4 linked regions of the Elephas maximus indicus genome follow. The protein of the gene in region 2 purifies or fractionates together with the protein of the main gene of each other region. This does not show direct contact. Links are inferred from orthologs where the notes say so. Each region holds a gene or a part of one and is shown on either strand. Other genes may lie near its edges.

Region 1 (7,410 bases), on a different chromosome or scaffold from region 2:
AGCACTATTGTTTTTCTTTAAGTAGAATTAAGAGGAAAACGAAAAGTCTAGGAGGAGTAGTAAAAATGAACAGAGGACCAAGAGAAGGATGTTTTGGGGAAAAAAATGAGAATCACATTTCTTTGTTGAAATGAAGAATGGTTAAAAATATAAACAAAGTGTGCTTTTGTCTGCTTATTTTTATCACCTGCCTGGCCTCTGAATGCATTTGAGTTCGCAAACCCCCTACACAGATGTTACCCTAAAGAAGCTTTGGAATGCAAATTAAACATATTTATAGAAAGTTAGGCAATAAATATATGATAACTATATAAAAATATGCCAAATACCAATCCTGGATCAATTCAACCTTCTGTCTTAACCATTTCTAACATGCAGGCTTCCGAATGCTGCCGGAGAAGACCCTCGGCCCTGCAGATTGGAGCCAGTGCCACTTCAGACTCCACCTTGGCTGGCCCTTCAGGACCCCTTAGCAGTTCTTCTCAGCCCTCGTCAGCTCCCTAGCCCGTGGCTCTATGCAACGCTTCTAAACCTCCCACACCTTTCTCAAACTTCCCACTACTCCCCATCTCACTTTCAGTCAATTGCTTTTGCCTCCTATTTCTCACAGAAAATAGACGTCATTGCGCAGTAATCCTCTCATGTTCCCATATCCGTGACTTTCTTGCTCACAACCTACTTGCTGTCTCAGTTAAAGGCACTTGCCCCTTTTGGGGATCCCATCCTATCCCACTGCCTCAGAAGTCTTACTCCTAACCCTATCGCCCCTCATTTTTTTAATGTATCTACTGAATCTTTTCCTTCAACATGAATCTTTTCCTTCAACATAACAATCATGCTTAAGTCTGTCTCAGCTTAAAATGAAAACTAACAAAATCCTCTTTCAATCCCACTTTACACTCTAGCCACTACTCTTTTTTTTACCTTCCCTTCATAGCCAAGCAAACTTCTACTGATTATTGTTAATATCTCCACTTTTTCCCCTCCCATTTACTCCTTAAACCACTACAACTGGCTTTAGTCAGCACCACTTGAAACTGCTCTCTGTACTAATGATTCCCACCGTTTCTCTGCCAAAAGCAATGGAAATTTTCGCATCTGACACTGGGACTCACACCCTCTTTGAAATGCTCTCCTCCCTTGGCTTCTCTGAATTCTTCCACTATTAGAATTCCTCTTTCCTTTCTAGTACAGTCACTATGAGTCAAAATTGACTCCACTGCAACAGATTTTTTTTTTTTTTCCTCAAATTGACTCAGGTCTCCAGCTTCTTCTCTTCTTACTCTAATATTTGTGGTGGGTTGTTGGGCATCCTCACCCTCGTGGGCACTCGGCATATCCATCGCTCTCACAGAATATCTATATCTCTGACACTGGAGAGTAAATGTGCCTTTTTTTTTCTGCCTCCTCCTAGGCTGTGAGAGCTTTCAGAGCAGGAAGTATGTTATATCTCTACTGCCCCCCAGCATCCACAGGGCCTGGCCTATAATGTATGTAGCTATTAAAGACTGTTTGTTGAAGTGAATGTAAGCAAACTTGATTGAGCCCTGTATGACTACAGTACCCTCATTTGCAGGGTATTAAGGACTTCAATGTTACATTAATGACCACAAAATTTGTTGAGTCTGGTTTAACATCAGGCTTTGGAGTCAGACATCTTGGGTTTCCAATGCCATTCTGTGCCCCCTTACTAAGGGTAGAGCTTTAAACAGGTAAACCTATATAAGCCTTGTTTCCTTACTGTCACTTGGAGATAACCGTGGTACCTGCTCCTAAGTCCGTGCGAACTAAACGCAAAAAATACTCATAAAAGTTTCCGGAACTTGCCCTAGCGCGTAATACTGTCGTTGTTAGGTACCGTGGAGTCGCTTCCAACTCACAGCAACCCTATAGGACAGAGCAGAGCTCCCCCATAGGGTTTCCAAGGAGAGGCTGGTGGATTTCAACTGCCCACCTTTTGGTTAGCAGCCGAGCTCTTAACCACTGCACCACCAGGGCTCCTATAGTACTGTTAGCAACACTTAACGTTAGCAATAAATTTTAGCTAACAAAGGTAATGTTATTGTTAGTTACTTAAAAAAAAACATCAGTTAAATACCTTCGGCAATTTAACAGATCTAAGAGCGCTGCTGGGTTTCCATGCTGATAACCAGGAAACCCGCCAAAAAAAACCCCCCTGGTCTTTCTGCGACCACTTGGGAAACATTCCTCTATTTGTTCATTGAATATTTGATTGAGTCCTTCCCGTGCCAAAGATCTGCTTGAGGCTCTGTCCCGAAGCTTATTTGTCACCTCAAAGACCCGGTGATACCTCTTGATAATCGAATTAAGCCAAATGCCAAAGCTTCACCATTCCACTGGCTCACCCCAAAAGTAGAGCTGGCACTGAGCTCCCGAGAGGTAAGCGGATCGGGGGTACGATTCGGCTAGGGCAGCGCAGGGACCAGCTCGCACCGGCCCCGGGACCCTGCAGCCGGGCGCCTCCCCGAGGCGGAAAGCGCAGAGTCGCGGCGTCTGCGGATGGGACCGGCCGGAAGAGCGCGCGGGGCACGCCCAGGAAGAGGCTCCCGGGCTGGCGGGGACCCGCTCTGAAAGCTCTGTTATCTGAAAGCCCTTCTGGGTTCGGGAGCTGATCTGGGGCCGGCCTCTCGGGCCTGGGCAGTGTTTGATGAGCATGCCACCCCACTGACCTTCGCCCTCTGCAGCTGCCTGCAGCCCCCGGGGGAGCAGCAGGCCCGGCCGGGCGCCGCGCAACCCGCCCTCCCCTGGCGCCGCGGCTTCGGTCTCTGGGTCCTACCCGCGCCGGGTGGGAGTGGGGCCTGCACGCGTGCTCACACGCGCGCACACTCACGGCCGCCCGGGTCGCGTCGCCACCAACCTGCTCTCCCGAGGTGGACGCGCTCCAGCACCGACGTTGCTAGTCTGCTTCGGTGACACCTGCCGCCGGGGCGGTTCCGCGCGGGTTGGAGCCTTGCGCTCTTTTAAATACCCCGACTTTTGTCCCTCCTCCTCACTGGTTTGCATGTAAACTGGTGCTTTCCTCTTAGGACTTAGGGGAACTCCGGCGGTAATAACCACATATAGTTCCCTTAATCAGTAGCCTGGCAAACCCGGTCGGGGATTTCCATGGCCCTAAAAGCGTCACTGTTTCTTAACTAGTGGCACATCCGCGTGGCATTTACTGAAAAAACCTTTGCTTCATTGCTCTTGGGTCAGAGGAAACCCTGATAAGCGGAGTAGAGATGATCATTGGTCAGCCTAACTGGAAAAGGTCAGTCCTCACCGCTACCCCTTCAAGCCCCAAACACTTTACATGTAAAAAGCGTTAGGTTTTCCAGTATTTAAAAGAAAACTGAAACTTTGTGAAATCTTTATGATTATTTTTACTTTTGTTCTGTCCCAGAAAGTTCTGTCCCAGGGCAGACTTGGCTATTTTTCAGAAATCCTCCTTTTAGCCTTTTTGTTTCACAAAAGAAGTCTCTTAATTTCAGTGACATTTTCGTGTAAACCCAGAAGTCTGGGAGTCTAACTGCACTGCCACCGTTGCATCAACTTCGCCTGTCTAAGCAGTATATTTAGCTATGTCAGGGAACAGAGGGATTGCTCGTCTGGTTTCTCTGGCTTCTGGGAGAGTCTGTAGATCCAATAGGCCCTGTAGACCAAAGACAGTTATGAGCCAAAGGTACAACCCACATACGTTATTCAGGACTTCATCATCCTCGGAAATCAGAAGGGCTCACAGTCCGCTCAGTACAGAATCCAGCTGGACTGAGGTACCTTCTGGATTAGGAAACTGCTCAGAGCAGCTAGAGTTCGAGTTGGAATTATATCTGAAAGACTGTTTATCTATCGTGGAAATTTCAACCTACTTTTGAGCCTACGTAGTTCAAGACTTTTTAAAGCATTTTCAATTCACCCTTAACATTATCTAAAACATTTTGTGGTCTTCACACATTTTTAATCATATACTCAGCAAAAGAATTTTTAAAAACTCTATATTCCCTCACACATTTTTAACTTAACACCTTTTTTTAATATATTGTCATAGTTGCAAAGGATCTGCAAAATGTAAACACATTTTAGAATAAAATTGAAACAGCACCTTTTTAAATGTATTTAACTACCAGATGCCATGAAGTAGATTCCGACTCAGGGACACCTCATGTTTGTCAGAGTAGAACTGTATTCCGTAGGGTTTTCTTTCCTTTCTTTTTTAAAATAATATTTTATGGTGTTTTTGCTGAAAGTGTACACAGCAAATTAGGTTCCCATTTACCAATTTCTACACAAGTTGTTCAGTGACATTAGTTATATTTTTCACAATGTGTCATCATCCTCTTTACTTGCAGTCTGGTTGTACTGTTACCAATATTCTAGTTTCCCTGCCCCCTTATTGTCTCATCTTTGCTTTAGAGTAATTGTTGACTTTCTGGTTTTATATAGATGTTTTTTTTTTTATTGAAGCACCATACTCACAGATAATATCCTTCATTTTGTGTGCCAATCTGTTATTTCACTAATCCATAGGGTTTTCAATGGCTTATTTTTGGGAAGTAGATCGCCAGGTGCTTCTGTGTGGACTCAAACTGCTGACCTGTCAGTTAGTGGCTGAACATGTTAACCGTTTACACCACTCAGGAACTCCTTTAAATGTATTTCATGGATTCTAAATACCACAACCATTTGGCACCAACTGTCATCCATTAAAAGGTAATAAATCAGCTCTTCTTTAAAAATTAGAAATATTCTATCACAAAAAAAATTTTTTTTATCACAGTTTTTTGAATATTTCACTTTTCCCCCAGAATTTTAATATATGTTTATGGTGGGCATCTTTTATAATCACACTGTCACTTATCTCTGAAACAAATATCTATATAAATTGAAGTTTAATTCTTCCCTTTCATCATAAGTACTTAAAAAATTTATTTTGCATCATCACTGATATTTTTAGTACTTTTAGTACACAATTGTTTAAAGCAATATAAATATATTACAAATTTGGTAATTGTTAAAAATAAGTAAAACTTTATCACAAATTCGATTTTAATGGGTGGGTTGCAGCTTACATTTTAAGCAATTTGTTCAAGTGTGTATTGATGAATATTACCTATTGCTAGAATATGACAGAATCCAGCCTAGATTCTGTTCTTTATACATTTCTACAGATTATAATTGCTGAAAACCTTTTTCACATAAATAAGTAGGTAGGCCTGGAAGAAATGTTATAGCATTTTTTCACAATTCTTTGAACATCTGTTTTATCTTCCAAAAATCACTTAGTGATCATTTGTCAAAAATTATGGTTAGTTATCAGTGGACAACTCAGTTTTGTTGAAATTGGTGACTTGGAAACCATTGAACGTTTGTTAGCTAGACAAGGTTGTCGGATTTAGCAAATTTAAATACAGAACACCCAGTTAAATTTAAATTTGAGATAAACAACAACATTTTAATATGTGTGTTTCATGCAATAATTGCAATGTAGTTACACTAGAGATTTTTCATTGATTATCTGAAATTAAAATTTAACTGGTGTACTGTGTATCTGGCAACCGTATACCCAAATATTAGAGTCATTCATTTTCTCAATACCAACACCAGTATTTCCAGTAGTCCAAGAGGTTTTTACACCCAGAGGCAAAATACCATTTTAAGACTCAGAATGGGTGACAGGTAAACCTGTCTTTTGTAAAAAGAAAGAAGCTCTACTGTGAAAGGAGAGGTGAGAAGAGAGAACAAGCTTGGCAACCTGGACAGTTCTTGTTTCCAGAAAAGTCGCTTTTAGTAAAAACTACATATGGAAATTGAGGATCAGTCTGTCAATTCCCTTAAAACTATCTGAGCTCCCACTTATGCACTGGAAAATCTTTGTAAGTGCCCAAGGATACAGTCAACCTAATTTAAAGACCACAGCCTAAGCAATCCCCAAACTGACTGTTGTGTGCTGACGAGTCGATTCTGACACATAGCGACCAAGAGTAGAACCACCCCATAAGGTTTTGTAGACTGTAATCTTTACGGAAGCTGAATGACAGGTCTTTTCTCCTACCGTTTAGTGGATTCAAACTGCCAACCTTTCGTTTAGCAGCTGAGCTCTTTAACCATTACGCCATAAGGGCTCCCTGATAAACTGACTAGGATTCCCAAATTCTTCAAACTGTTAATGATAGCTGGGATCAGATCTGTTGGGGGTGGAACAGATCAACATGTGTTCTTTGCAACATTTTGCACAACTGTAATTACTGATTTTAAATAATTGTTTTCTTGGATAAATTCTGAGTACTGTCTGGACATGGACTGTGTATATTTTGTTTACCACATTAGTCTAGTGCTAGTAGGGTGCCTGTCTATAGGGTACTCAATGGAGCCTGTCTTTCCTCTTGGGCCCTCCCTATTCTAAACCTGCATCCAAATTTTTAATAGTGTAACATACTGTACATTTTCCCTCGATTCCTTTGTATAAACCAAATATTTCATATAAAAATTCCTTTTCCTTCTAGCATTTAACTTACCTAAATATATTTTCTCTTCAAATACCGTTTTATAGATAGAAATAAGCAAGGAATTTGGAGGGCGGTAAAACAGTACACAATACTAGGGAAGCCAGCACAACTTGGACAAGGCAAGGTCATGGAAGCCCCATAGACACATCCAAACTCCCTGAGGGATCAAATTACTGGGCTGAAGGCTGTGGGTCCATGGTCTCAGGGAACATCTAGCTCAATTGACATAATATAGTTTATAAAGAAAATGTTCTACATCCTACTTTGGTGAGTAGTGTCTGGGATCTTAAAAGCCTGTGAGTGGCCATCCAAGATGCTCCACTGGTCTCACCCCTCCAGGAGCAAGGGAGGATGAAGAAAACTAAAGACACGAGGGAAAGATTAGTCCAAAGGACTAATGGATTGCAACTACCACAGCCTCTACCAGCCTGAGTCCAGTTCAACTAGATGGTGCTTGGTTACCACCATGGACTGCTCTGACAGGAATTACAATGGAGGGTCCCAGACAGAGCTGGAGAAAAATGTAGAACAAAATTATAACTCACACCCTGAGAGTATGGCCCACGGACACTCTTATAGCTCAGTAATGAAGTCACTCCTGAGGCTCACCCTTCAGCCAAAGATTAGACAGGCCCATAAAACAAAGCAAGACTAAAGGAGCACACCAGCCCAGGGGCAAGGACGAGAAGGCAGGAGAGGACAGGAAAGCTGGTAATAGGGAACCCAAGTTCGAGAAGGGAGAGTATTGAGGTGTCGTGGGGTTGTTAATGTCATAAAACAATATATATACTAACTGTTTAATGAGAAGCTAGTTCTGTAAACCTTCATCTAAAGTACAATTAAAAAAAAAAAGAAGGAAGGGAAAGTTTGAGGAAAGTGACAAGGTAGACACGTATGGCCACTA
Region 2 (8,011 bases):
AAGCTCATAGCCAGCCTAAAGCGGCCTTACATACCTCCCTTCGTTCCCCACCCCTTCCAGCTCCAAGCTGGGCTCCTTTCCAGTAACAGTCCTACCCTGGCCTGGGCTGGATCAGCCTCAGCCCCCAGGCACTTTCCTTTATCTGTTCAGTCTAACTTTACCCTCTGTTTTCCAGACACAGATGTTCACTGAGTAATTACCAATAATACTAATAATATAAAAGCTAACGTTAAAAAAAAAAGAAGAGCTAAAGTTTATTGAGTGCTTTCTATTTTCTACACCCTAGTGGGCATTTTTTTTTTTAGTGGGCATTAGGGTCGATATGAGTTGGAATCAACTCGACAGCAACAGGTTTCATTTGGTCTTAGTGGGCGCTGGAAGCCCTGGTGACAGTGGTTAAAGAGCTCGGCTGCTAACCAAAAGGTGACCGGTTAAAACCTACCAGCTACTCTACGGGAGAAAGATGTGGCAGCCTTGGAAATCCTGTGGGGCAGATTACTCTGTCCTGTGGGGTCACTATGAGTCAGAATTGACTCAGTGGTAATGGGTTTGGTTTTCTGGTTTAGTGGACTTTGGTGGTCCAGCGGTAGAATTCTCACCTTCCATGTGGAAGACCTGGGTTTGATTTCCAGCCAATGTACCTCATCTGCAGCCAGCACCCCAACTCACAGCAATCAACTAGATGGCAGCTACAAAAACAACAGTCCTCTACTAAACTCCATGAGGGCAGAAATTCTGTTCACTGCTGTAACCCCAGCGCCTAAAACAGTGCCTAATGAAGACTGACAACAACCAGTTGTCAATTCCAACTCATGGAAGCCCCACATGTATCGGAGTAGAACTGTCCTTCATAAGGTTTTCAATGGCTGGTTTTTCAGAAGTAAATCACCAGGCCTTCCTTCTGAAGTGCCTCTGGGTGAACTCAAACCTCCAGTTGGCAGCCCAGCACATTAAGCGCTTGTACCACCCAGGCACTTAATAAATCAATGAGTACTTAACATACATTATTCCATTTAATCTTGAAAACAACGTTGTGAGGTAATGACTATTATGTCCATTTTACAGACAAACAAACTAAGAGGTTAAGTAACTTGCTCAGCTATTACATGGTACAGCCAGGATTCAAACCCAGGTGATCCACCCCAAAGAGAGAACAGAAGATGTCAGGGCTGTAAACTGGGGGAAGATCATGGAGGCAGGACACCCATGAAAGAAAGGAAGAGAAGATGGGAGTAGGGAGACAGGAGGTGAGCGAATGAGAAGAACAGTGAGACCATGATAGAGAGAGGTGCTTGGGGTACCCAGGGTCTAGAAACATGGCACTAGAGCAGAGAAGTGGGGCAGCAAGAAAGAATAAGAGAAAAAAAGGTCTCAAAAAGGAGACTCTGAGAAGGGGAGAGTGATAGAAAAGGGAGGAATGATTGGGAGAGAGAGTATAAGATGCCAACGACAGGGGAGATGGTGGGAGCAAGAGGTGGGCCAGGGAAGGGCAGGGGCCCAGGAGAAAGAGAAGACCTGGTCAGCACAGGCAGGGATAATCTATCCAACTAGATGGGGAATCTGGGGGCTCAGGGCATTTGGAAAAGATGAGTCAAGGACAAGGAGCGAAGATCAAGGATACACTGAAACAAGGTGGAGGGAAGAGAAAGGGACATTTTCCAGTGACCAGTGACGAAAACAACTTTCTACCAACTTCCGCAAACTGAGCTGAAAAAGGAGAAACCAAAGGATTGTTGTTTAGTTCTACAGGGAGGGGGCTGGGAGGACAGGGGCAGGGATACTGGGTGGAGGTGGTACTAGTTACTTGTGGGGAGGTGGAGGTGTTATTCCAACAGAGGCTACCCTGCCTGGGAGCTGAGCCACAGGCAGAAGGGCCACAAATGCCCCAAGTGGGAGGCCTGGGAGGGCACTGGGGCGCTCTCTACTTAGATGTCCTTCCCCCTTACAGTTTCCCACTCGACTCCCAAAGACTCCCCCACTATGTAGCCTCCCAAACCTACCCCACAATTCACCCTCTCCTGGACTCAGCTTCCCGGCTTCACTAGCCATCCAACTCCAGCCCTCTAACAGGGTTTGCTCAACCAGGTTCCATAGGCAGCCTCCCTCGCCATAGCCTAACACAGGCCCGGCTAGCCAGCTAACCAAACCAAAAACCTAACCCATTGCGTTCCGGTGGATTTCTACTAACAGCGACCCTGTAAGATAGAGTAGAACTGCCCCACAGGGTTTCCAAGGCTGTAAATCTTTAGGAAGCTGACTGCCCTCCCGCTAAGAGGCTGTTGTATTCAAACCGCCAACCTTTCGGTTCGCAGTCGAGCGCTTTAACCACTGCGACACCAGGGCTCCTTGCCAACTGACCAGAGGGACAGAATCCTGAATCTTCTGGACTGAGAGGACGGGTCTTCCTTCTCCCACTCTGTCCTTCCCCCGCCAAATCTACTGCATCCTTGGCCTATCACCTGCCGCACATTCCCGGACGCCCCCTGGCCCCACCAAACTTCCTTGGCTATCAGGGGCCAGGGCTCCCTTTTACTCTTTCCCTTTCAAACTTCTCCATTTCCCTCAAATAATCGGCCTTGTCGGCTCCCTCTCTGCACTGGCATAAGAATGGGGAAACGTGAACCGTGTTTGGGTTGAGCAGGCCCGAGGCTGGGGCCAGCCGGGATCTCGCCCCCTTCTGCCCCGCCCCAGCCCACTCCATTCTGGATCCCTGGTCTCACCAATGGCGGCAGCAGGCCAGGGACGGTGGGGAGGCCCATGTCCGGCCAGGGTGGCCTCTCACTCCCCCATCAGGGCTCAGGGCAGTGGCGGCGGTCTCCTGGGGTCCGCGGGGTCCCGAGTTCCCTGGTGGAGCCTAGGCCTTGGGGCGCGGGACTTCGAAAGTTGAGGCGCGAGTAGAGATCCCGTCCTCGTCCAGGGACCTCGGACTCCGAAGGCCTGAGTCGGAAGAGCTCCGAGAAAACTAGAAAGGAGAGAAGAGGTGGGAGGGGACGGGAGTGTGGCTGTGTTGCAACATCCGCGGGACAGGAAGAGCCAAGGGAGGAGGCGGGGGAGGGGGGGGTTAAAGGTTCTTAACCGTTTGTAGTCCAGTCAGAGAGCTTGGAGTTCCAGATCCAGTCGCCTTGTGCCCCCAGCCCGCCAGTTTTACACTCCCAGCTGGTCACCAAGGTGCAGTAAGCTCCCTCCCTCCCCACCCCCAGCTGGCCTTCCCTAAATGGAACAGCAACGGAAAGACCCGGGCTTTGGAGTCAAATTCAATGGGTTCCAGTACAGAATTCTCCACTTCCCCCCGCCCCCATAGCTACATAACTATAGTTTAAACTTTTTTTTTTTTAATATTTTTATTTTGGTGAAAGTATACAAAGCCAAAGATACACTATTTCAACAATTTTTACATGTACAACTCAGTGATATTGTTTATATTCTTCCAGATTGGTCACTTTTTAGCTCTGTGGTCTTGGAACATAACCTAACCTCTCTGAGCCTGTTTCCCAACTAGTAAAATGGAGATAACCTCTCTCATAGGGTCGCTGTAAGGATTTATTAAGAAAGGACAAAAAAAGTACCTGACACTTGGTAAGTGCTCAGAGTTCCTTAGGAACCCTCCCCTTTTACCCAGAATTCCCCCTGACACCTTCCCACTTGCTCAGGAATTAACCCCTCCAACACAAACCTCAGAGTAAGTCCTACCTCTAGGTTTATGGTCTGCCTGGGGCCCTGACGCCCCCATTCTGGCCAGGTCCCCAACTGCTGGTCCTGGCTCTGCCACCAGCCAAAAGTGTGACCTCAGGCAGGACCTCCACTGAGCCTCATCTCCTCCTCATTTATTAAATGGGGTAACAATGGCTGGCCTATCTGAGGATTAATGAGACTAAAACTGCAAACAGAGTAACGGAAAATGGGCTAGGGCACTGAAACAAAGCCATTCCCCAGAAAAATGGGGCAGGGTATCAGAAAATAGCCTGTAAACTTCTTTAAAGCTATTTTTCAGAAGCAGCTGGAGAAAACCAGCCCCAACGACATGTGACATGCGCAGAACATCCACCTGTGACTGCTGTGTGACCTTCCACCAAGAGCAGTGAGGGCTGCAGCAGCAGCTTAGGAATCGAACCCAGGGAGCGAGAGACTGCACAGGTGCAGCGCGACACCCCATAGTAAGTCGTGGTACGAATCCCGGGACACCCCATAGTAAGTCCTGCTACGAATCCCGCAACACCCCATAGTAAGTCCTGCTATGAATCCCAGAGGCCTTTGGGACAGGAGCCATCTTAGACACCTTAGAAAGCTGTTGCTTGCATAGTTAACATATCCCCGCCTGTGCCTATGAATAAACATGAATCTCCCGCACCCCAAGAATTTTTAAAAACCCAGGCCAGTCTTTTGTTCTGTGAGACAGGCAGGCGTAAGTGTTGCTCTAGGCCCTCCTCATCTCCGCTTGCAAGCCTCTTTAATAAAGCTTTGCTCCTGTGGAAAACTTTACGTGCCTTACCTGCTCATTCTTGACCAGTGAGAGGCAAGAATCTTATTCCAGTAACAAGACCACATCCAAGAAAAAGCTTTGGAAATTACAGATATCTTTATAAGGTCCTTGGGTAGCACAAACAGTTTGCACTCATCTGCTAATCTAAAGGTTGGCAATTTGAACCTACCCAGTGGTGCTGCAGAAGAAAGGCCTGGTGATCTGCTCCTGTAAAGATTACAGCCAAGAAAAGCCTATGGGGCAGTTTTACTCTGTCACATGGTGTCACTATGAGTCAAAATTGACTTGATGGCAACAGATTCGGGTTTTGTTTTTTTGGCTTCAATGAACAGAAGTTCATTCTCTCCCAGCCCAGTAGGCTAGAAGTCCAAATTCAGGGGATCAGCTCCAGGGGAAGGTTTTCTTTTCTGTCGGCTTTGGAGGAAGGTCCTTGTTATCAATCTTCCCGGGTCAAGGAGCTTCTCACCACAGGGACCCCGGGTCCAAAAGACACACTATTCTCCTGGCTCTTGCTTCTTGGTGGAATGAGGTCCCCCTGTAACTCTGCCTGCTTCTCTCTTTTACATCTCCAAAGAGATTGGCTTAAGACACAGTCTAACTTTGTAGACTCAGTCCTGCCTTATTAACATAACTGCCATTAATCCCTTCTCGTTAACATCATAGAGAGAGGATTTACAACACACAGGAAAATCACATCAGATGACAAAATGGTGGACAATCATACACTACTGGGAATCATGACCTAGCTAAATTGATACATATATTTTTGGGGGACACAATTCAATCCATGACAACCTTTTAAGTTACTCTGAAATTAAGTTTTGTAGTATTACTTTAAAAAGGACTCTTGAATCAGATAACTCATTTCCAATACTAATTCCAGTATTTGTTAGCTATATGACTTTGGGCTAGCTACTTAATTCTCTAAAAGGGAGCTAATCGTATCTACCTCACAGGGTTCAAAGACCAAAAGGGCATTAGATTCTTTTTTTTTTTTTTTATTGTACTTTACATGAATGTTTACAGAAAAAACTAGCTTCTCATTAAACGTTAGTACACATATCGTTTTGTGACATTGGTTACCAACCTCATGACATGTCAACACTCTCCCTCTTGACCTTGGGTTCCCTATTACCAACTTTCCTGTCCCCTCCTGCCTTCTAGTCCTTGTCCCTGGGCTGGTGTGCCCCTGGTGATGCAATGGTTAAGCAAGTCTTGGTGGTGCAATGGTTAAGCGCTGGGCTGGTAATCGAAAGGTCAGTTTTTCAAACCCACCAGCCGGTCATCGATCTTCTGGAAAAAGATGAGGCAGTCTACTTCCATAAAGATTACAGCCTAGGAAACCCTATAGGGCAATTCTACTCTGTCATATAGGTCGCTATGAGTCAGAATTGACTCAACGGCACACAATAACAACAACAATGCCCAAACCAACCAAACCAAACCCACTGCCATCAAACAATGCCCAGCCCAGGCCAAAGGTTCTCCAGCTGTTGAAGCTGCCAGACATGAAGGGAGACCAGAGAGGACTGAGGTCCTAGGGCTTTGTGACTTGGAATCAGAGCTCCTAGCCTCTTCACCCTTTGATCTACCAGCTGACCACCTACCCGCGTCCGCTTTCCCTGGCTCTCCCTTTCCTCCCCTCTGTGATCCCAGGGATCTACTTGACAATGGAGCTTGGGTGCTCCCTACCACTGGGGGGAGCCATCTTCACTTCACCCCACCCTCCTGCTTTTGAAGACTTGAGGGTTGAAGCTGGACTCACAGGGGAAAGAGCTCACCTTTCCACCAACACACAGGGAGGACCACAGTACAGTTTGAGTGGACCGGAAGCAGAGCTCTTGAAGAAACAGGGTCATTAGAATAAAGTGCTAGAGTCAGATTGCCCAGTTTCCAATGTGAAGAAGAGAGGAGAGCCTCAGGATCCTCATCTAAAAAATGAGAATCATGCCAGTACCCCTTGCAGAGCTGGTTTCATGATTAAATGAATATAAAGTGTTTAGCAGTGTTGGCCATGTAGTAAGCATTCGATAAATGATAACAATATTAATACTTTGTAATAATAATTAATAACATCAGTGTCCTTTTTTAATATCACAAAGGATTTTTAATTGTGCAAACTGGCAAGGCCATTACACATAGCCTGGCACAAATAGAGAATTTCTTTCATTGTTTAGGAGAAATGTTATTGCACTTCTGTTTTAAAAAAAAAAAAGATGGTGAGAGGTGGGTGGAACTAGGAATATGAAAACCTAACTGGTTTCATGGAGGAGGTAAAAATGAAAGACCCTACTTCCTCTAGGGAAGAAGAAATAATGGTGAAGGAGAGAGAGAGAAATAGGAAAGGAACAGAGGATGACAGAATTGACTGTTAAGGTTTGTGGAGGGGTAATTATGGCACACAACAATAACAACAACAAAGGGATGAAGAGAAAACTTCAGATAGCAGAGAACCTCCCCCACCTCATCTTCCCCATATCACACACATACACACTTCACTCACAGCAACACCTAGTGATCAAAAGGGCATTTCCAAGTCCAGGTCATGTGGGTTCTAGCCTCAACCTTGCCATTCCGATTCTATGACAGGAATGCAGGATGGGTCATAGGAGGAGACCTGGTTTCCAGGCTTTGTAAGAATCATCTATAAAAACTTTGGTGAGTTACTTCACCTATTAAGCCCCAGATGGAAAATGAGGCAGTTGAACTGGGCCAACTTAAACCCTTTCTTGTCTAATGCTGGGATTCTAACTCTTAACCCTAGGGTCCAAGGGTAGCCCGTAGATGAGGGACGGAGATAAGAGAACATCTCAGGGTGGAAATGAAGGTAGGTAAGGAGAAACGCAAGCATCAGGGGAGGAGAAATGGTAGCTGTTTGCAGGCCATAAGAGATCCAGCATTATCCAGCAGGTTCTGTCCATCCCAGCAAAGGATGGGGAGCTGGGAAGAGGGCGGGGGTAGGGGTGGGGCAAGGCTGAAAGGCTGTGGCAGACAGCAGTGGAAGGCAGGCTGACCCTGAGGGCTCTAGCAGAAGAGACTGTTGTGACGCTACCATATCTCCCCTCATCAGCTTGAATCTGGGAAAGGGAAGTCAGAAGTTGTCACATCAGTTCCTGGTCATGACCCTGTCTACCTCCCTACTCCCTTCTCCCCTCCCCAAAGATGCACTCTCTCCTTTGGCTCCTCAGGGCAGAGAAACTGTAATTAAGGGGAATATGATCAAGACAGCAGGGGAGGTGTCCCCAAAGATAATAAGGAATGGTGACTTCTGGGTCCCAGGACTAATGCTGGTGTCGGGGTGGGGAATTGGGGGTCAGAAAACCAGAGTTCCCATACAGACATCTCTTAGCCTCTCCCTGAACCTCAATTTCTCCTGTTAATAAAGCTGGGAGGATTCCCTCTGCTCCTCCCTCTGTAATGACATGAGAACAAGAATATATACAGGTTTTGAGGTTCCAGAAGAAATTGGGCTAAGTCTCACCCTCCTCCACCAGTACCTGGAAATTGATGGGGAGATAGAGAAGTGAGCAG
Region 3 (7,534 bases), on a different chromosome or scaffold from region 2:
GATTTGTGTGATTTGAATTCAACCCTTCTATTTATCATAGCTTCAAAGTGGAATATGGACCATATGATATGCAAACAGTTATTTCTAATATATCAAAAATAAGTAAAAATAAAGATAAAAAAGCAATGGCAATTAGAAGAAAGTTTGTACGTAGTGACATTTTATATGTGTGTCTGTGTGTGGTTATTTTTTAGTCCTGAGGGCCAAGATAAGTTGTTTTGTTGAGAGTGAATTTATGCTGCTGTGCCTGTCTAGACCTGAATCCTTAGAAGGAGAGGCAGAGGAATTTCAAGTCAGAGTGGGTATGACACTTGAGTGTCTGACTGCACCAGGCCCTTGGCAAACTCCTGATCTAGTTGGGATGTCAAAACTAGAGTTTAAGGCAGGATGTAAGTACAACTATTGTGGTGCTCTGTGTTAGCTCCCCATTTCGCAAAGCCTTGTAAGGTAGGTGGTAGTAGGTGTTCTCATTTCGTGGATGAGGAAATCAAGACTCACAGCTGAAAGTCATTTGTTCAAGTCATAGACAGCATGTGGCTAAGCTAGGAATGGAATTTATCTGCGGTCTGACTCCAGGGCCTGCCTTCTTTCTACTGTGCCATATTGCTTCTCTAAGTACCAATTCCATAGTTCCAAGTTTGTTCAAGAAAAGAAGTTAATGGGGTACAAGCTATTAGGAAAGAGGTAGGACCTGAGCTGGTCACTTAAAATGGGTATGATTTTAGTAGACAGATGGCAGCAGTGGCGCTCAGAGCAGGAGAATGGTATGAGCAAAGTCAGAGAAATTTGCATACCTTCTTTGGGTGATGCTGAGGAGAGCTCTCTGGCTGGTGAAGAACAGAGGGAGGAGGGATTTTGGGGCTGATACTGTCCATTTTGACTTCTTTGTGTCCTTTCTGCAGGGAGGTCCTGGCCAGTGAAGCCATTCTTAATATTCCTGACAAGTCCGATTGGAGGCAGTGTCAGATCAGCAGAGAAGAGGAAGAGACCCTAGCCCGCCGCTTCCGGAAAGACTTTGAGCCCTTTGACTTCACTCTGGATGACTAACTAAAGGGAAAGACACTTTACGAACTTCACAGGTTCATCCACCTGTTTTTAAAGAAACTGCAGTTTCCTATGAGGACTGTTTCCCTGCCTCTCTTTCATGTATTCCCGTGGAACCTGCCCACAGCAAAAGGTCTAGGACTGAATAATTTTTGGAAGAAGTCACATTCTAGGATGAAAGTCCTATGTTAAAAGCATGTCTGTCATCCAGCTCCAAGTACCAGCTTGTGTTTATCAACATTTTAAAAAACATGTAGACTATCAAATAAAATCCAAAGGCTTTTCTATGGTTGAGAAGTGTCTTGTGTTCATGTTACCTGTGATCCTTGAAATGATGTAGTGCATGTAATAGGAGGGGCCAGGGTTTTAGGCCCAGTGTTTCATCCCAGAATCACCCAGGGTGGCTTCTCCCTGAGCAACCTAGTTTTGAGAAGGGACCCAAGGCCTTTGCCACTTTTCTTTTATAGCAGTCATCTTACTGATGCATAAAAGCTCATTCAGTCCTTCAGCAAATATTTAACTCCTATGTGCTAGGCACTTTTCTAGGCTCTGGGAGTATAGTTATGTCCTAACATGGTCCCTGTTGTCCCATAGTTTACAGTCTAATTGGGAAGAGAAGGGACAGATTTAAGAAAAAAAGATGATTTCTGCTTTGGATATGTTGAGTTTTAGATGCCAAAGATTTGTAACGGATGCATCCTGGGTGCTGCTGGAGAGTTCTAAACTCATGGAGATTTAGGTTGGTGATAGGGATTTGGGTATCATCAGGATATAGGCAGTACATTAAATAAAAAGGATGGATGAAAATAAGAGTTAAAGCTCTAAGCTGAGGATGACTACCTGAGAAGTATTACTATTTAAGGAGTACTTGGAGTGATCCAACAAGTACATGGAGAAGAAGCAAAGAGAGAGATCTCAGGAGACTGTCAAAAAAATTCCTCCTATATATTGGGCATGTGTGGCCCAGAGGAGAAATATGTGGCAGTTGAAACACTATGGGGGCAGTTCTACTCTGTCCTATAGGGTCGCCATGAGTCGGAATAGGCTGAATGGCAACAGGTTTATGGCCCAGACACTGGATTTCACTTAGTCCTTACAAAATCTCTACGAGGTGGGTATCACCACTTCCATTTTACACCTGATGAAGCTGAGACTCACAAACTTGATTGTGGAGTCTGGGGCCTACCAGCCTGGGATTTAAAAAAATGAGCTATGCCGTATCCCTAAGAATGAGTACTTTTTTTTTTTTTAATTGTGGAAACTTATAGCTCAAGTTAATTTCTCGTACAAAAACGTATACACATATTGTTTTGTGACATTACTTGCAATCCCCACAATGTGACAGTACACTTCCCCTTTCTACCCTAGGTTCCCTGGGTCCATTCAACCAGTTCCTGTCCTTTTCTGCCTTCTCATCCTGCCTCTGGACAGAAGCTGCCCATTTGGTCTCGTGTATCTCATTGAATTACTCTTCACTTGTATTATTTTTTCTTTTATATTCCTGTCTAATCTTTGAAAGGTGGGCTTTGGCAATGGTTTCAGTCCTGGGTTAACAATGTCTGGGGGCCATAATTTTAGGGCTTCCTCCAGTCTCTGTCGGACCATTAAATCTGGTCTTTTTATGGGAATTTGAATTTTGCTCAACACTTTTCTCCCACTCCATCCAGGACTCTCTTGTGTTCCTGGTTAGGGCAGTCATTGGTGGTCTCAGGCTGGTGAAGACTCTGGTTTATGTGGTCCTTTAGTCTCTTGGGCTAATGTTTTCCTCGCGTCTCTGGCTTCATTCTCCTTTGCTCCAAGTACCCAGTAGGATGGGACCAATTGATGCATCTTAGATCATCGTTTCCAAGCTTTTAAGACCCCAGACACCACTCACCAAAGTGGGATGCAGAACATTTTCTTAATAAACTTTGTTATGCCAGTTTACCTAGATGTCCCCCAGAACTATGGTCCCCAGGCTCCAGCCCCAGCTAGTCTGTCCCTCGAGGTGTTTCGATATGTCCAGGAAATTTCTTAGCTTTTGCTTTGGTCCAGTTGTGCTGACTTTCCCTTCACTGAACTTATTCTGGTCTACTATCTAGTAAGTGAATTCCCCTTCTCCTCCCTCTCCACCCTTGTAACCATCAAAGAATGCTTTCTACTTCGTTTAAAGCTTGAGTTCTTATAATAGTGGTCTCATACAATATTTGACCTTTTGTGACTGACTAATTTCACTCAACATAATGCCCTCCAGATTTGTCCATGTTGCGAGATGTTTAGAGGATTCATCATTGTTCTTTATCGTTGTGTAGTATTCCATTGTGGGTATGTACCATAATTTGTTTATCCATTCATCTGATGATGGGCACCTAGGTTGTTTCCATCATTTTGCTATTGTGAATAATGCTGGAATGAACATGGTGTGCATGTGTCTATTTGTGTGAGGGTGCTTATTTCTCTAGGATATATTCCTAGGTGTGGGGTTGCTGGATTGTACGGTATTTCTATTTCAAGGAAGCACCAAATTGTTTTCCAAAGTGATCGTACCATTTTACATTTCCAGCAGTGCATAAGTGTATCAACCTCTACACAACCTCTCCAGCATTTATTATTTTGTGTTTTTTGGATTACTGCCAGTCTTGTTGGGGTGAGATGGTATCTCATTGTAGTTTTGATTTGCATTTCTCTTGGCTAATGATCACCAGCATTTCCTCATGTGTCTGTTAGTTGCCTGAATGTCGTCTTTGGTGAAGTGTCTGTTCATATCCTTTGCCCATTTTTAAATTGGATTATCTGTGTTTTGGTTGTTCACATGTTGCAGCATCTTACAGATTTTAGAGATTAGATCCTTATTGGATATGTCGTAGCCACATTTTTTTCCCTCTAACTGTAGTTCCCCCCCCCTTTGGTGACATCTTTTGACAAGTGTGTTTGATTTTTAGGAGCTCCCAGTTATCTAGTTTCTCTTCTGGTATTTGTGCATTGTTAGTTGTGTTTTGTATACTATTTATGCCACATATTAGGACTCCAGAATGGGGACGTTTAAGGAGCAAACCAGTGACCCTCTTAGCGCAGAAGTCTTCCTAGTTCTTGAGATTCCCTAACATTTAAATCATCAGTGGCCTTTGCCAGTGCCAGTTCAGCGGGTGACAGGGTTGGAGTATACACGGCTGGGGTGTGGGGAAGGAAGTGTATACAGAGATGCAGACAATCTTAAATTTGAAAAAAAAAAAAAAAAAACGAATACAGGACAGATTAGAAAGTGATTTGAACGGAATGTAAGATCTGGAGAGATCTTATATTTTTCAATATTAGGAAAAAAACACGTGGGCTCTCTCAGCCAGTAACAGACCCATGAAACTTCCAAAGCAGACGACGAACACCCTCCACGCCTCCCAACCCTTTCGCCCGCGGCGTTTTAGAGAGCGCTGGACAACGTGGGCGGGGCTTTTCCTCGGGCAGTTACCGGAAATGACACATATCTCGCGAGAAGAAAGGCGCGCGAGCCTCGGCGTCCCGGAACCGGCCTTGGAACAGCGGCGGTGTATAAGGCAGCTTCCCCTCCCGCCCCATGGAGGGGCCCCCGGGCCTGCGGCCGGGCGCGGGCGGGCCCTGGGAGATGCGGGAACGGCTGGGCACCGGCGGCTTCGGGAACGTCTGCCTGTATCAGCATCGGGTGAGCCCGGACGCGCGAGGGAGCGGTGACTGTTTGTCAAAGCGTCTGTGGAATATTAGGGACTGTCAGTGTGTGAGAGATTGTCAGTGAGAATTGGAGGCAGTGTTTGTGGGCCAGTGGGTATGTGTGTGTGTGTGATATTGTACTTGTGAACTTGGGTGACTGAATCTGAGGTTATATCCGTAGGAACGTGTGATACTGGTCCTGGGCCAGCGTGTGAGATAGAACTATTAGGGGGAACTTTTGGTATGAGTGGCAAGGTGTGACAAGCTGTTTAGTGAGTGTGACAGTGCCTTTATGTGTCTCTTTGTGAGTGTACAATGTTAGGGTGTGTGAGGCAGATGAATGTCAGAACGTGTACGTGTGAGCAGGAATGGGTGAGAAAATGGGGCTACAGGGGGGCTGTCTGTTGGAATGTGCGTGTTCGTGTTTGTGACTGGAGGCCTGTGAGTGTGATATCTGTAGGGACCGGAGTAGACAAGGAAGGCGTCATGGAGGGTCTGGAGTTAGGCCTTCGAAAGCATGGGTTGGCTTTGGAGGTGAGGATGCATTTCAGGTAGGAAATAGTGTGAGGACGAGCTGGTGAAAACGATCAGTGGCTTCACAGGGAAGGAGATAAGATTGTAGGTGGGGGGCAGCTAACATCAGACTCAGGAATTTTATTATGATTTAATTGAGAATGTTTAACCATTGTGGCAGCAGTTAATAATCATGTTCAAGTCATGCATCTTCTGAGATTCAAATAAAGCCATGAATCTTTTCTTCCAAAAATGCACATCCACACAACCTTAGGCCTAGCCATTTGAGGGGGTTCACAGTCTCCTGACACACATTTACAGACCTTATAGGTGTACAGAACCTGAAATAATAATCCCTGCAGTATAGCCTTAGTTTTGCCATCTATAAAATGGGTGTAATAATGTATATACTTCATGGATCCACTTGAGAGTTAAATAAGATAATGTATGTAAAACTACAATGCCTGGCCCATGGTAAACCTTCAGATGTTAGCTGCCAACATGTGTTCTTTTTGCTGTTATCATCCTCATCATCAGTCTTTGGGCTTAAAAAAGGAAATGTTAAGATAAAAGTGGTGTTCTAGGAAGATTATTTTGTGAAAGATGAATTTGAGTTGAAAACTTATGGGCAAGATTGGCACTTAAGCTATTACTAAAATGCCAGCAGTTGGTCTGTGAATGAAGAAGTGAAATCAAATGAAGAAATCCTGATTTGCTGTTTAATGAACATGGCTGTGGGTAGCCCATATTGTGAGGTGGGAGTGAAGAGAGATGGGAGCCTGTCTAAGAGGGAATAGTCATGTTTGTGGGGCAGTTAAAATGTCAAATGTTACTGGTAGAACTGAAGAAATTTTGCAAAGCAGGTTTCTGTTGTTAGGTGCTGTTGAGTCGTTCTGACTCATAGCGACCCTGTGTACAACAGAATGAAACACTGCCCAGTCCTGTGCCACCCTCACAATTGTTATTCTTGAACCCATTGTTTCAGCCACTGTCTCAATCCACCTCATTGAAAGCCTCCTCTTTTTTGCTGATCCTGTACTTTACCAAGCATAATGTCCTTCTTCAGGGACTGGACCCTCCTGATAACATGTCCAAAGTACCTGAGACAAAGTCGTGCTATCCTTGCTTCGAAGGAGCACTCTGGCTTTATTTCTTCAAAGACAGACTTGTTAGGTTCCTCTGGCAATCCGTGGTATACTCCGTATTCTTCATCAGCACCATTGTTCATAGGCGTCAGTTCTTCTTCAATTTTCCGTATTCATTGTCCAGCTTTTGCATGCATATGAGGTGATTGAAAATACATGGCTTGGGTCAGGCATAACTTAGTCCTAAAAGTGGCATTTTGCTTTTAAACACTTTAAAGAGATCTTTTGCAGCCAATTTGCCCAATACAATGTGTCTTTTGATTTCTTGACTGCTGCTTCCATGGACGTTGATTATAATTCCAAGTAAAATGAAATCCTTGACATTGTTAATGTTTTCCCTGTTTATCATCATGTTGCTTATTGGTCCATGTGTGAAGATTTTTGTTTTCTTTATATTGAGGTGCAGTCCATACTGAGGATTGTAGTTTTTGATCTTCATCAATAAATGCTTCAAGTCTTTTTCACTTCCAGCAAACAAGGTTGTGTCATCTGCATATCAGAGGTTGCTGATGAGTCTACACTTCTAATGCCCCATTCTTCTTCATACAGTCCAGCTTCTCGGATTATTTACTCAGCATACAGGTTGAATATAGTGAAAGGATGCAACCCTGTTGCACACTTTTCCTGACTTTTAAACTATGAAGTATTGCCTTGTTCTGTTTGAATAACTGCCTCTTGGTCTACATACAGGTTCCACATGAGCACAATTAAGTGTTCTAGAATTACCATTCTTCGCAGTGTTATTCATAATTTGTTATGATCTGCACAATGGAATGCCTTTGCATAGTCAATGAAACACAGGTAAACATCTTTCTGGTATTCTCTGCTTTCAGCCAAAATCCATCTGACATCAGCAGTAATATTGTTTCATGTCCTCTTCTCAGTGCAGCTTTAATCCTGGCAGTTCCCTGTCAATGTACTGTTGCAACCGTTTTTTAATTATCGTCAGCAAAATTTTACTTGCATGTAATATTAATGATATTGTTCTATAACTTCTGTGTTCTGTTGGATCACCTTTCTTTGGAATGGGCACAAATATGGATCTCTTCCAGTCAGTTGGCCAGGTAGCTGTCTTCCAAATTTCTTGGCATAGATGAGTGAGCTTCCTTCCATCTTCTTTTGATGCTGCATTGTTTAATATTTTTTTCCTGTAGAATCCTTCGGTATTGCAA
Region 4 (7,462 bases), on a different chromosome or scaffold from region 2:
TGCTCCCTGCAAGTGAGGATAGTGAGTCTTTGTCTCGTGTACTTCGGACATGTTATCAGGAGGGACCATTCCCTGGAGAAGGACATCATGTTTGGTAGAGTAAAGGGCCAGCTAAAAAGATGGATTGACACAGTGGCTGCAGCAACGGGCTCAAGCATAGCATTGATTGTGAGGTTGGCACAGGACTGGGCAGTGGTTTGTTGTATTTTACGTAGGGTTGCTATGAGTCGGAACTGACTTGACGGTACCTAACAGCAACAACCTTGTCCTGAACAACATTGTTCATGAAATCAACGTTTATATATATATAATTTATTTTTCATTGTGCTTTAGATGAAGGTTTACAGAGCAAATTAGTTTCTCATTGAACAATTAATACAGATATTGTTTTGTGACATTGGTTGCCAACCCTGCAATGTGTCAACACTCCCCCCTTCTTGACCTTGGGTTCCCCATTTCCATTGGTCCAGTTTTCCTGTCTCCTCCTGCCTTCTTATCCTTGCCCCCGGGCTAGTGTGCCCATTTAGTCTTGTGTACATGGTTGAGTTACGTGAACACTTAGATGTATTAATTAGACTTTTCTCATGGTTGCAAGTGACAGAAATGGACTCTGGCTTCCTCAAGCATAAAAGGAGTTCACTGGAAGGATTTTGGGAGGTCCACAGAAGTGATGGGAAAGGCTGAAGAGCCAGGTGGGAAAATGGCAGGAACCACAGAGACTGGATGAGCAACTGGAGCTACCTACCAAATGGCAGGAGGACGGTACAGGAGCTCACTTTTGGCTTTGTTGAGTGGAGGTGTTGAGTAGGCAGTAGGATATAAAGTAAACGCTGAACTTGGTGAGGCTGTAAGTATGAGGTGGAAGCCTCTGGTAGCCATTTGGGAAGTGTGGGGCAGGATCTAATCAACAATCATGACTAGTGCTACTGAGAAGGTTTTATTGAGTCATAAGTGTTACTCTATATAAGGTAGTAGGGCCCTACCAGGCAACCAGGAGTTTACCACCTCCTGGGAGAGAGAGCTTCACACAATTCAATAGCTTATCATGGGGTTCCTGCTGTGTACAATAAAAGAACTATGCAAGACCGTTCAGAATCACAGTTAACTACCCTGTTTAAGAAAGCAGTGATCGTTTAGTGGTAGAATTCTCACCTTCCATGCAGGAGACCCAGGTTTGATTCCTGTCTGATACACCTCATGTGCAGCCACCAGCCGTCTGTGAGTGAAGGCTTGCATGTTACTATGATCCTGAACAGGTTTCACTGGAGCTTCTAGACTAGACAGACTAGGAAGAAAGACCTAGTGATCTACTTCAGAAAATCAGCCAATGAAAAATGTGTGGATCCCAACGGTCTGAGGTACAACTGGCCATGCCGGACACAGTATGTTGTATACAGGTCACCACGAGTTAGGTCTGACTTGATGGCAGCTAACAACAGCCCTGCTTAAAACACATCCAGGGGTTCTCCTTGATCTGGGGCTCTTGCCCTGGTTCACAAGGCTCTGTGTGAATGGCCCTTCTGCGCCCACACTTTCTGCACTCCGCCTCTTTCAGTTCTTTTAAACGTCACTCTCTTTCCTGTTCCTGCTGCCTGGAGCATTCCCCCTCACCCCTAACTTCCTGTCATCTCTCCCACCTCTTCTTAAAGGTGACTTCCTCAAACAGGCCTTCCCTGAATGCCCAACCACCCTTTACAAGTGCTCAGAGCAGTTTTCCTCCTGAGGCTTGCCATAACCATAATTAAGTACATGATCGTGTAATACGTTGTTGAAGATTTGCCTTCCTGACCAGAGGGCAGGGATAGCATCTCTCTTATACACTGCTGTGGCTCCCAGTACCTGCTCAGTAACTCACCCACAGGCCACGTGAACCCAGGGCTAGGCTGGTTAGAACAGGCTATGGGGTGCCGGATAGACAGAGGTGAACTCTGGAGGCTGGATCCATCTGCAGAGACACCTGGAAGAGGCCGGCCTTTGGCTGGGAGCCTTAAATGAAGGAAGGATTTGGAAGGCAGAGAGTATGGGCCTTTCAGATGGAGAATCCACCGAAATAGAGGTGGAAAAAGCCCTGGCTTGGATTCAGAAGAATCAAGGTCTCAGCTCATTTCCTGGGGACCTGGGCGCAAATGATTTTCTCCCTCTTGACTTTAGTCTCTTATCTATAGAATGAGAGGCTGGCTTATCGAGGACTGTAAATCATAGTACCAAGACACTATTCTGCCATCTCATCCCCGGCAGACAATCTCTCTCTCCCATAAGCCTGAATAAGGATTCAGGATTGCTTTTAACACAGTGTTCTAGGCAAGCATTCCCAATTGATAGGAGCTGGTGATCTGCTTCTGAAAGGTCACAGGCATCGAAAACCCTACGGAGCACAGTTCTGCTACTCCGACACCCTGTTTATCAGGTCTGGCTTGGGTGAAGATCTCGATGAAGTCAGGCTCTCTCACTGGCTCAGTGAACAAGTGACAAGAATGAGCATAGTAGCCAACCATTGCTGTTGGGGAAGAAAGCCCTCTGGAGCACAGGGCTCAGCAACATCAAACATCATCATCAGAAAGGACACAAAGATGCTCCAGTCCAGGGATGGCAAACTCAAATACCTTTAGGGGCCAGCAGATAATGTAAGGCAAGAAGTGGGCCAGACTGATGAATTAGGGAATGGTGGGGAGTGTGGCAAGCTGGAGAAAATGAGAGCACTGGCCCTGGGTAACCAAAACCAAATCAAACCTATTGCTGTCAAATTGATCCTAACTCATGGCAACCTCACGTGTTACAGAGTAGAACGGAGCTCCATAGCGTTTTCTTGGTGTAATCTTTACAGAAGTAGATTGCCAGGCCTTTCTTTTGCAGCACCTCTGGGTGGTTTTGAACCTCTAATCTTTCAGTTAGTAGCCTTGCACAAACTGTTTGCACCACTCAGTAACCTGTCTAAAAGCACTCGAAATTTCTTTTTCCCACTCCTCTTGCCCCCTTCCCTCCTCTCCCTCACTGCATGGGTCAAGAAAAATAGTCTTCAGGCTAAATTTCGCTTCTGGCCAGATTGTGACCTCTGAGTTCTACCTGTTGTTTTTGGAAGTCTAGATCTAGAGGGAACAGTGCTGCCTCGGGCTACACTGTAAGCCAGGCCTGTGGGTTCCCATTTCCTGCTTTCTACTGCAGTGTGGTCATGAAGACTGGGAAACAGGGTAAGGATGGACTGAAGAGGCCAGAAGTGGATCCGAGGATTACGTTTTCAAAAAAAAGATGCTCATTTCATTCTAGGTGATGATGGCAAGGGAGAGGAGTGGCCTGCTTACTACTGCTGTTAGTAATTGTTCATGTGACTTCTTTCATGTACTCATAGGTTTAAATTCCCCCAACCTACAGAAGCGTGTCACTTTCCACTGGGGAAAATCATGTCATGATTACATATACACACGCACACTCACACGCACGGCACCTCCTCCTCCTTCCTCAGTATTAATCATCTTCTCCCGTAATTGGCGTTAAAATGTCAAAGGAGAAGGAATTAATTAACCGTAAAGTGCAGCAAGGCACACCGCAGCACCCTGGGATGGATTATAAAAAGCACTTCGTTAAATATTTTGAGCACTTTTGGGAACCAGAAACCTCTCTTCTAATTCAAAGATTCTTAACTATACCCAAAGTCCTGGCTGGTGGCCAGGGGTGCAGGGCTGAGTGAGGAAGCATACAGAAGTTCCGTCTTCACCACTTTACAGAGACTTCCCCTAGAGCGGGCTAGGTGCTAATAGAGGTTCAGAAGCATCAGAGGTCCCATGCCGAATATGAAGCTTTAACATTTACTGAGCTCCTGCTGCGTGTCAGGAACTCTACAGACGGTATTTCACAACAATCCTATGAAACAAAAGTTACTGTTATCTCCATTTTATAGATGAAATTGGGGCTCAGCAAGGTCATCAGTTTCCCCAAGTCACACGGCTAATAATTGAAAGCGCAGAAGATTCAAACTGAGGTCTGATCCTAAAGCTTTGCTCTTTCATGGAATCCTGGAATCCTATTTCCAGCTCTCTTCTGGAGTGCTCCCCACCCGGACCCAAACTCCCAGCGGTTATAGGAGTTTTGACAGCTTAGCCAAAAGCCTATACCTGAGTATGGGAGGTGGAGCGAGGAAAAGCACGGTGCCCCGCCCCGACTCCAGTATCAGCCAATGGTGGCGCGGCACTCACTGCCTTTAGTCCAATCAGACAGAGCTCCCCGCCCCCATCTCCCTCATCTCCTCCCCTCCCCTCAGCTTTCCCTTTGGCTCGACCGAGCTTGGCGGAGCGGAAAGTCCCTTCAGCCCGCGCCCGGCCGGCAGCCATTGGGGGAAGGTCTGTCACAAGGCAGGCCAATCAGGGCATGCGCAGGGGCGCATCACAGGCCACGATTGGTTAACGGGACGGTTGCCCCTCCGCCTCCGCGCCCTCCCTTCACCCTGGGCGGCTCGGAGGCGGGGCAGGTGGGGGCGGGCCCAGGTAGCAGGTTCGGCTGCGCGGGGGCTGCGCGTCGGAGGTAAATACTAGGGCGGTGGGTGTCGGGTTCCCGGGCCGGCCCGGGATGTGGGCTAGGGAGGCCGGAGAAGGGGCGACGCCCCGCTGCCCGAGGTGAGCGAGGGAGCGGGCGGCCGAGCCGGCGAGCAGCGGCGGCCGGATCCCCTCGGTGCTCCTCCCCAGGCTCCGGGCGTCTCGAGCCGCGGCGGGGGCCGTCCGGCCCTCTGCGCCGACCTGTTACTTGCCCCGGCCCCGAGTCGGCCGGGCCCGCGGGGTGCTGAGCCCGCTGACGTCAGCCCGGACTCCCCCCCCAGCCCGGGGCTCCCCGCTCCGGGCCTTCCCGGGAGGCCTCCTGGGTCATGGCAGCGTGGTGGCCGCCGCTGGACCTCCCGAGAGGAGAGGACTCGGAGGTGGAAGGGGCGCGGAACGCAGTCTCTGGCTTCGACCCCATTTAGAGATGGGGAAACTGAGGCACCGGCCGCTGGCTGGGTCCCCACTGCTATAGTTGGCATCAAGAGCCCCGGGCTGTAATAACTCACGTCTGTGCCGTGGGGCTTATCAATCGGCTTTGGGGTGTTCGCGGCTTCTTTCTAGGAAGAGCGGTTGGGGTTTTGGCCTCGTTAATGGCGTGTTCTGCTTTTTCTTTCAGTTTCGGGGTGAGGATGGTTTTATACAACTGCCCGGAGTTCTTTAGTTGAAAGGTGCGCTGTGTTGAGACAAGGTATTCCTTTTTTTTCCCCCCCGTCTTTTTTTTTTTTTTTCTTTATTATCATATTAACAGTCTGTGGGGACATCGTGAAATTTTGAAGGAAGCTGTTGATTTCGAGTTTGGTGCTCAGCGGGGTCAGCTGCCAGGTTATTCGCGTACTTGGAGTCTTTTCTAGTCAACCCCTTGACATACCCGTGTTTTAGGATGGTTGTCACCGTCCAGCCGGCAAGCCTGTGGCCTTTCCGTCTCCCACCCCCAGATTCCCTGCCCCCATCCTCTCCCCAGCCTTCCCTACCTTGGTTTTGAATGTGGACTAATGAGGAAACTTAAGACGGTTGTTCATTTTCCAATCATTGACTCCCAGAGAAAAAGCCAGGCCTTGAGAGAGGGTGTTTGTTTATTCAGGGGTTGGTTTTCTGCCCCCACCCCCCCAGTCATCTTCATGGCCCTAAGAATTTCACCTGCTAGTCCCCACTGAGTGGTGGGTGGATTTGAACTAGAACAGTATTAAAAAAACAGGAGAAAAGAATTTGCTGGAAATTCTTGTTGGAATTCATGCACTATGCATGTTGGTAACACCCAGAACATTCTTTAATGTTCTGCAGCAAAATTTGGGAGTGATCTTGCATAGAAGCTGCCTTCCTTTGGGTGGTAATTTGTGTGAAGAGCTGATAAGGCCAAGGCACTTGTTATTGAAAACAACAGACGTGAGGCAGCAATGATTTCTGTGGTTTGGCATGCCCAAAATTCTGGTTTTGATTTAAGAAAAGCTTTAACACAAAAAGAGAATGGGATGATTGTCCTACTCATCAAGCTATTAGTATTTTGTTCCTAATTGTCACCCTGTGTTCTTAAATTTGTTGGGAGCTTTTACATTGGTGATGCAGAATTTATAGGCATCATACACGGTTTCAAAGGAACCACACAACAGCTTGTTTTCATCATTGTGGAATTTTCCTTATTTGTTTCTTTTTTTTGTATAAATAAAGTGGTATAAAAATTGACCAGGACTTTATTTATTCAGAGACTTAGTGACATTTTAGGCAAAAAACCCTAGATGCTCCCAACTCCCTCTTTTTTTTTTTTTTTAAGCTGGCAGAAGCTTTTAATCACATAAACAATTAGGATGAGGATATGGGATTTGGGCTCTCACTGGTACCACTTGAGTTTTGCCAAGTCATTCATTTAGTTCTCATGAACTACCATATATGTCAAGTCACTGAACACTGGAATAGAAGGATAAAGGACTTGGGGGAACTCAGAGTTTGGGAGTATGGTGGCTGGGGCCCACTGTAGTGGGATAGTGTTGTTCACGGTTTCTCTAACATGAATATACAAACACAGGAGCCAAATCTTTTTGTGTTTGTTTTGTTTTACATTATAAATCCCAGTTGTTTTCACGCGCAGAATACTTAAGGAACTGTATCCTGGCTTACTTGGGTCACAAGGACATTAAAACTGACTAAATCTCTTTTGGTCATAGCCTCTCTATGCCTGTTCTTTAGCTGTTTAGGAGTACAACTTGTTCTTTTAGTGAGAGATATTCTTTCTGAAAATGGTCATCATTCTAGCTGTCTAGAAGAGTTTGGAAAAAGGCCCGTGTGTCTTTCTTTGATAGTCACACTGACCTTTCTGCTACTTTGCTGTTTATAATTAGGGGCAGTATTTTAGTGTGGTCATTTTTATTCTAGCCTTCTGTGGTTTTGAGAACAAGTCAGGTTATCTCAGGAGATGTAAAGAGTTCTTTAGTAAGGTATAACCTGTTAACAAGAATCCAGGTAACATTTTCTAGATCAGTTAAATAATTGTGACTTACTTAGCTAATGCTGTTTGTTTGTACAATCTGTTGTCTTTCGAACTTGGTAATTCTGATGTTTAATATTTTCTTATAAAACTTGTTTCTCGACTGCCTTCTTTCCACTTCATTGATGGGAAACTGACAAATATATGCACCTTCCAATTTAATTATTTAATTTTAATACAGCCAAATTCCCCTTTACTCAGAATCCAGACCAACAACCAGCTCAGATAGCCAGGTATATTTTCAAATCCATGTGATCCCGACCTGTTCCCTCATCTGGAGTGTTGCCAATATGGTGTTAGGGTTCAGTGCATTATTGTATTTCAGCTGTTTGGCATTCTTCATTCAGTACTTACAGGAATTATCAGGATACTCTCAGTCACTCAAATTTTCCAACCTGCAGTTAGTAGTGTGGTATTTAGATGAGTCATTTGTGAAATACTTATACTCAGCATGAAG

What was found.
Region 1: the proteins of TNFRSF1A (region 2) and BIRC3 purify together in Homo sapiens (affinity purification with western blotting; 4 studies listed by BioGRID, with this or other methods). This does not show direct contact. The link is inferred for Elephas maximus indicus from reciprocal best matches to the Homo sapiens genes TNFRSF1A and BIRC3.
Region 3: the proteins of TNFRSF1A (region 2) and CHUK purify together in Homo sapiens (affinity purification with western blotting; 3 studies listed by BioGRID, with this or other methods). This does not show direct contact. The link is inferred for Elephas maximus indicus from reciprocal best matches to the Homo sapiens genes TNFRSF1A and CHUK.
Region 4: the proteins of TNFRSF1A (region 2) and CYLD purify together in Homo sapiens (affinity purification with western blotting; 4 studies listed by BioGRID, with this or other methods). This does not show direct contact. The link is inferred for Elephas maximus indicus from reciprocal best matches to the Homo sapiens genes TNFRSF1A and CYLD.

The regions. Positions count from the first base shown.
Region 1 is NC_064825.1:18,277,191-18,284,600, forward strand, and holds the start of BIRC3 (baculoviral IAP repeat-containing protein 3), read right to left. Parts: upstream 3,009-7,410; 5' UTR 2,879-3,008; intron 1-2,878. UniProt on the Homo sapiens protein: Multi-functional protein which regulates not only caspases and apoptosis, but also modulates inflammatory signaling and immunity, mitogenic kinase signaling and cell proliferation, as well as cell invasion and metastasis.
Region 2 is NC_064822.1:63,140,809-63,148,819, forward strand, and holds the start of TNFRSF1A (tumor necrosis factor receptor superfamily member 1A), read right to left. Parts: upstream 3,006-8,011; 5' UTR 2,760-3,005; coding exon 2,721-2,759; intron 1-2,720.
Region 3 is NC_064834.1:51,889,281-51,896,814, reverse strand, and holds the start of CHUK (inhibitor of nuclear factor kappa-B kinase subunit alpha), read left to right. Parts: upstream 1-4,528; 5' UTR 4,529-4,594; coding exon 4,595-4,699; intron 4,700-7,534. Other genes in the region: CWF19L1 (CWF19-like protein 1), read left to right, coding at 903-1,047.
Region 4 is NC_064839.1:17,266,166-17,273,627, forward strand, and holds the start of CYLD (ubiquitin carboxyl-terminal hydrolase CYLD), read left to right. Parts: upstream 1-4,457; 5' UTR 4,458-4,515; intron 4,516-4,522; exon of another isoform or gene 4,523-4,607; intron 4,608-4,621; exon of another isoform or gene 4,622-5,142; 5' UTR 5,143-5,214; intron 5,215-7,462. UniProt on the Homo sapiens protein: Deubiquitinase that specifically cleaves 'Lys-63'- and linear 'Met-1'-linked polyubiquitin chains and is involved in NF-kappa-B activation and TNF-alpha-induced necroptosis.